2 linked regions of the Mus musculus genome follow. The protein of the gene in region 1 interacts with the protein of each later gene in a biochemical or structural test. Links are inferred from orthologs where the notes say so. Each region holds a gene or a part of one and is shown in the gene's direction. Other genes may lie near its edges.

Region 1 (4,327 bases):
ACCCACAGGTTGAGAAACACAGCCCTAGAGCAAAGACAACCGACCCTCCTCTGGTTGGTTCTACTGTTTTGACCTCTAGTAGGCCTATTGTGCTCTCTGAGCCAGCACTGACTGGCACACCTAACCTGAAGAAGCTTCCTGGTTCTTTCTAGGACCTTCTATCCTTTAGGAAGGGCTTGCTCAGTTTAACTGCTGTCAGCTGCCTGCCTTCCCAACAGCCTCATCCCTGCTGGAAGCCCCTAAGGGCCTTCTGGAATTCAGGAAGCCACCAGTCTGCCTAGAGACTGGTCTTGATCTATTTCTTGGTTCTTCCGGCAGGTTCATTAAGGAACTGGGTTTCCTTTTAGGGAGGGACTGTGTCTCTGGGCAGCACTTCCCACCTGGCCAGTTACTGTGTGAACTGAGGGTCACTTCTCCCTTCAAGGGCAGAAAAGGACATGCCCTGTGGCTGCAGTGTGTGTGTGTGTCTGTGTGTGTGTACCCATGCAATATGCCATGAGGTCAACCCAGGTGTTGTCCACTTAGTTTTAGGAGACAGGGTCCCTTACTGAAATCTGAGTCTGACTTCGGATTAAGTAAGGCAGGCTGGCTGGCCAGTGAACTCCATCCAGGGTTCCACCAATAGTCTCTGCCTCAACACTGGGATTACAACAAAGCACCACTGTCTGGGTTTTTTTTTAATCATAGGTTCTGGAGCACCAACCTCAGAAAGCATGTTAAGGACCTGGCTATGTCTACCCTTTGTACCAACCAACTTCGGAAGGCCCAGAATTAGTTAGAAATGTATCTCATCGGGAGCTGCATACAGGAAGCCTTGGTCCATGGGAAGAACCACCCACACCTTGCATTGAGAACCCCAAAGGGTCTATCCTAGATCATAAAGGTAAGAGCCCAGCATCTCTGGGGTCAACGCTGGTGACCCCAGAGCATGGGGCACAGGAGACTTTGGGGACCTGGACGAGCAGGCTGGATCATTAGGAGGCTGAAAGGATCAAAAGGCTCCTTTTGCTGGTAATCTCCTCTGTTTTCAAGAGACCAGACTTGGGTAGGAAAGAGCCCCTGGGGTCTGGACCATGGGGCTTTGGGGGATGGGGGACGGGGGGGGGGGGACACGGGGGAAGAGGACGAGGGAGTTGGATGAAAAGAGGAAGAGGTGGTGGAAGGTAAATGGGGAAGGAAAGGAAGGGAGGGAGAAAGGAAACAAGAGGGGAGCAGGAGAAAAAGACTGGGGTAGGTGAAGACAGGGGCGGGGCGCGGGAGGGCAAGGAAGAAGGGAGAGAGGTTGGGGTGAGAGGAGGGACTAGGAGGAAGGGGGAGGGGCGAAGGGAGGGAAGAGACGGGAGGGGGAGGGGAGGAGGCGGGAAGGGAGGGAGAGGGGGTGGGGCCTGCACGCTAGCCCCGCGCCCTCCTTCCCCACGCCGGCCTCCGCTCCCTCTCGCGCCGCAGCATCTCCGCGCGTCTCCCGGCCTCCCCGACTCAAGCTCCTGGCGCCGTTCGCCTCTGTCGTCGCTGCCACCAACGCCGCCGCCATTCTTGGCGCGGAGCTGGCCTGGCCAGCCCCCGCCGAGAGCCTCCGCGGGTCGGACGCGCGCTCCAGGTAAGCGACTGGGCCGGCGCGGGAGGAGCGCGCGCGGGGTTGGGCAGGTGCGCGGAGCGCGGCGAGCCCCCGCGGTAAACCTAGGAACCCTGTTGGAGCCTCTCCTGCGACCCCCTCGGGGCTCCCAGGATCCCTCTCCGAGCTTCTTCCCCAGGTTCTCCCACACCGCTAGGACCTAGTCTGCATTCCCACCTGGATGCCCCCGGACTCCCTCTGCGTTCGCATCAGGATCCTTTGGGTCCCCTCTGAGTCCCATCCGGATTCCTCACCCCCCTCTACATTTCCACCGCGTTTTCCAGACCCTCTCTGCAGTTCCACCCCAGCCCGGATCTCTCTCCGGCGTCCCTTCCCTAGCTCCCGCCAGGCCCTGGCAGGCAGGTGGCTGGAGCAGGGACACGGGACAGGCAGCGGATGCGACTTGACCAGCCAGGCCCTGCACGCTGGGACCCCCGGGTGCTGACTCCTTGATCGGTGCCTCCCAGGTCAGGCCCGGTGCCCGTAGCCGGGCTCCCAGCCCCGGCCTAACCAGCTTCTATTTCGGTCTCCCAGGCCTTGGCTCGGGTGCACCGGATGTGGCGCGGTGCACTCAGACAGGTGCGGCCGCGGTGAGGTTGCCACCGCCGGGCAGTGGGCACTGCAAGGCGGTGGCTTCCTGGAAGATTCGGGCTGCGTTATTCTAGAACCGCCCGGAACCACCACCAGCTTTAGCTCGAGCTGCACCTGTTGCTGGCGCCCGATGATTTGCAGGGGGCTGGTTCTGTTGGGGCTCAGCCAGTTATGGCTTGGGGAAAAAAATCAGCCAAAAAACAAAACAGCGCTGAGCACGTAGCTGCCCTCTATATGTTTTCTGTTTAGTCTCTCTGTGGGTGAATGTGGAGTTTTGGCTTTCAATGAAGCATGTGGTGAAGGCCTGCCCCTACATACTGGGTCATTTGCCACATGAACTTGTCCTGCTTTTGTTTTGAAAACCCTCACTGTGTGGAGCACAGCCCAGGCCCGTGGGTGGCCCAACCTCTCACTGGACTGGGGGCCTGTAGCCAGCCATCTGACCCAGCTGTGGGTCTACCAGGCGCTACCAAACGGAAGTTTCCTTCCCAGGAGGGTGAAGTGACACCAGCGGTCTGTCACTTCATATGTGCCCCTGGCGTCTGACTTGTCTCTTGTCTGCCCAGGCAGGCAGGGTTATTTGGGAATGTTTACAGTGTCCCAGAAGCAGGCAGTCTTGGGCAGAGGTGGGGGTAGATCCCGGTAGCGACTATAATGGCCTGATTGTCATTTTGACCGTTGCTGTCTGTGTGCATCACGTCAGAGCGATCATCTGTTGAGAAGCGGAATGGATAGAATAGTGAGCAGGGATGTTGGTGTGGGCAAAGCTTGTCTTTCCTGACCATAAGACTCAGTTAGGTCTGGCTGGTCCACACAGCAAGTAAACCAAAGAAACAGACACACGTTGCCTATACCAGTTGTGGCATTGCCGTTCTTGCACGATGGATGTGCGACCTGGAGCCAGGGCAAGAGTCAGAGGCTGCCTTCCTGTGATGGGCTTGTTTAAGTCTGTCCTTTGAAATGGAGCTGCGAAGTCCCTCTGTCTATAGACTCCAATGACTTCTGGCTGTCATTGTGTGCCTTACAGAGACTCCTCCCCAGTGGTTGGAGTCTTGGCAGGTGGCTGCCTGCCCTGGACTGAGGGATGAGGTGCCTGGTGTGGACCGTGCTGCCTCAGGAATCCAGGGGGTCTGGGGCCAGGGCAGTGTGTCTGGTGACATCATCCACTTGTGGACAGTTGCTTCTCTAGGCTGTCTTTTATGGACAGTGTCCAAGGAGGCCTTTCCCACCCCAGGCATGGTGTGTGGTGGGCCAGGGCTATGGGAATGGGTGCTAATGGACAGCATGATCAATAATGCATCTCAAAGATCAATGGTTTTCTTTAGCCATTTGAGGTGTTTCTAGAGGGAGCCTGCCCTGGGAGGGCTAGGAAGGCTGAGGAGGGGGACAGTTTCCTTTGATTCGATTATGTTTAGGGTGAGCTTAGAGCCAGGGACCCTGGGTTTGAGCCCTCCAGAACATCTTCACTATACCAGAAGAGGATTTGGAATTTCCTCATTGTTGTTGTTTAAAGCAAACTGTTCCCTCGAGTTTGGAAAAGATCTCCCTCAGGCTCTCTGTTCCCTAGGCACCCAGAGAGCCATAGCATGAGCTTGGTGGTCATGCCAAGGTGGTCTTGGGGGGAAAAAAACCCTGCTGCTAGAATTAGCCAACAGGGGGCAGATCCCCTCCCTTTCTTCCTCCCTTCTTCCCTCCCTCCCTCCTTCAGATGGAGCCCAGGTTGCTCTCTGACCTCCTGTATCAGCCTCCTGAGTGCTGGGATTACAGGTGTGGGCCACCACTACCCAGTTTACATCTCTCCAATGGTGCCGGTCCCAGAAGGTCCACTAGATGGTGAAAGGTACTGGTGAGAGGTACCCATGGGGTTTACCCAGGCTGAGGGGGAGGGTCCTTTTGGTTCTCTTGGCTAAGAGCCATCCCACTCTTGGCAGCTGCAGTATGAGCAACCCATCTCTGCAATCTCAGTTGAAGACGTGGCTGTCCCTGGGTGACTTGGGGTGTGGCCCAGAGCTAGGCTGGTCAGGCAAGGTCTTATGCACGTGTCGGGGAGAGGTTTGCTGGACCACGGTGCAATTCTCTTGTCTGGAGGACATGCAGAAAGAGGTGGCAATCTTGTAGGAGGTA
Region 2 (2,353 bases), on another chromosome or scaffold:
GAGCAAGAAGTGGAGGTATTGTCAACTCAGTCTCTCATAAATGCATATTACTTCCATAAGCCCTGCTCCCAAAACTCCTCCACCAATCAGTATTGTGGTTTCTTGTTTCTTCTACTTGATTAACAACTGTTTAAGATATTAAAAGCAAAATGTGTTGGGAGAGGGGTGCCATGTGGCAGAGGACAGCTTGTGGGAGTCAGTTCTCTACCGTGTGGGTCTCAGGGACTGCACCCAGGCTGTAGTCCTACCTGCTAGCCGTTGCCATCTCACTGACCTGCATTCTTATCCCATATTACATCCACAGTGCCTAGAGGTCTTTAGTGCTTACTTAAAAAAATTACAGTGGTGGCACACGCCTTTAATCCCAGCACTTGGGAGGCAGAGGCAGGCAGTTTTCTGAGCTCGAGGCCAGCCTGGTCTACAGAGTGAGTTCCAGGACAGCCAGGGCTACACAGAGAAACCCTGTCTTGAACCCTCCCCCCCCAAAAAAAAATTATGATGGCATATTCCTGTAATCCTAGCACTCTGGAGCTGAGGAAGGATTGTGAGTTAAGGCCAGTGTGGGCTACACAGAAAGACCCCTTCCCACATCTCTAAAAATAAAAACAAATTAGGCGGAGAGAAGAGATTTCAGCAAGGCTTCTCAGCCAGAGGAGTGCTGGCATTGACCTCACTAAGCCTTGACAGGCTGCCCAAACTTGCTCAGTCTACGCCAACTGGGGCACTAGAACTCTCTCAGGAAAGCAGAGCTGCTGCAGTTTTGCTCCAGGAACCCCAAGACAGGGTGACTGCCTCATGTTCCATGGAGTATGAGGTCTATGTATGACTCCTGAGTGCTGACTCCTGGGATTAAATGTGTGCACCATCGCACCCAGCTCCTTAAGTGCAGTTTTCCTCTGTGGTCTTAAGGCCTCTGGGAGCTTTAGTTCAGAAACCTGTTCCTGAACCATGTGGGCCTAGCAGGAGCTAGAATTTAGACTAGGTTTTGCAAAGAGCAAGGGAAGGGAGGGGCTTGCAGGGGTCTAAAGTGTATCCCAACTCTGTTCACCAGGCAGGACTCTGACTCTCAAAGCCGACATTGTGTCAGGATAAAAACATATTACCAGAAGTGGGAAAGAACAATTTCCAAGTGTGCAGAGCTTCACCCCTGCATTTGTGAGTCGGAGGCTTTCAGGTTTCCTGATGGGATCAATCTGAACTGAAACGGGTAAGCAAGAGGAGATTAGGCATGGGTGTGTGGACAGAGGACAAGAGGGAAAATTTGTCCCCTCATCTGTCACATCCATCACCTTCAGCGTCTCAGTCTGCTTACATAGGGCAGGGCAGGGCATGGGGACAGATGTGGCCTGGAACAGAAGAGGAGCTGGGGAACATAGGATGAGGAGAGCTAATGACAGTCAACTGAAGCTCACTGATGCTTTATTTTCCAGACACTTGAACAAGACCTTGTGACCTACATCCTTAACCTACGGCCTGCCAATTTTTAAGACTGCTATTCCTCCAGCACTCCCTCACTCTCGGGCATGCCCAGCTAAGGGATGACCTGCTGCTTGCTTGAAAGCTGCTCCAGAAACTGGACTTCTCTTGGGAAGAGTAAAGAAGCCTCCAGAAAAGACTTGACCTTCCTTAAGAACTTCCCAAACTAGAGATGGGTCAGGGGAGGGCGCTCCGCTGAGTGGATGGATGGCCCGGAGCCAGCCAGGCAGTTTTATTGAAATATTTTTAAATACTTTGCACGTGTTAGTCCTGTGTGTCAGCAATGCTGTGTCTAGTTCGGTGATCCCAATGGGACAGTGAACCCAGGGGTCGGCTAGGAGGTGCTCTGTCCATTGAGACCATGCTGAGGCTCCCCTATACGGGGAGAAGAGCTAGTCAGCCCATCTGGGGCTGGCATTGTCCAGCAAGTGCACTGTCCTTACAGGGTATCCCGAAGGCCAAGGTTGGAAGCCTGAGCTCACAGGCCTCACTGCTAAGAGCGTGCCCCAGGCAGCTGCAGGCTGGGTGTGGGTGGCTTGGCATGATGCCCTCGGTGGCAGAGAAGACTGCCCGCCTCACAGTTCAAGTTGCGGTAGCGGGCAACAGCTGGGGTAGGGCGGGGGCACATGGATAGAAAGCCAAAGCTGAACGGGCCAAGGCAGCAGCCAGGGCAGGGCAGCCCCTCCTCCGGCTCCCGGGGAGCTGATGGGGGCGGTGAGGGCTCTGTCCGCTCCAGGGCTGCTGCCCGGGGAAGGCTATGCTGTGCCCGGTTCCAGGGCTCCCTAGCCCACCCTTGTGGGGAATTCACCACCACAGCAGGGGGATTATTGTTGAGGGGAGGTCCTGATCTAGGAGACCAGGGCTGCGAGGCTGAGGA

The links.
Region 2: the proteins of Sema4d (region 1) and Cd72 form a complex in vitro, tested with the Homo sapiens proteins (2 studies listed by BioGRID and IntAct). The link is inferred for Mus musculus from reciprocal best matches to the Homo sapiens genes SEMA4D and CD72.

What each region holds. Positions count from the first base shown.
Region 1 is NC_000079.6:51,790,767-51,795,093, reverse strand, and holds the start of Sema4d (semaphorin-4D isoform 1 precursor), read left to right. Parts: upstream 1-1,415; 5' UTR 1,416-1,597; intron 1,598-4,327. UniProt on the Homo sapiens protein: Cell surface receptor for PLXNB1 and PLXNB2 that plays an important role in cell-cell signaling. Regulates GABAergic synapse development. Promotes the development of inhibitory synapses in a PLXNB1-dependent manner.
Region 2 is NC_000070.6:43,447,114-43,449,466, reverse strand, and holds the end of Cd72 (B-cell differentiation antigen CD72), read left to right. Parts: coding exon 1-15; intron 16-1,051; coding exon 1,052-1,202; 3' UTR 1,203-1,207; intron 1,208-1,391; exon of another isoform or gene 1,392-1,430; 3' UTR 1,431-1,743; downstream 1,744-2,353. Other genes in the region: Tesk1 (dual specificity testis-specific protein kinase 1), read right to left, coding at 1,970-2,353. UniProt on the Homo sapiens protein: Co-receptor of B cell receptor (BCR) that plays both positive and negative roles on B-cell functions. Recognizes the Sm/ribonucleoprotein (RNP) self-antigen ligand, and coligation of CD72 and BCR inhibits BCR signaling.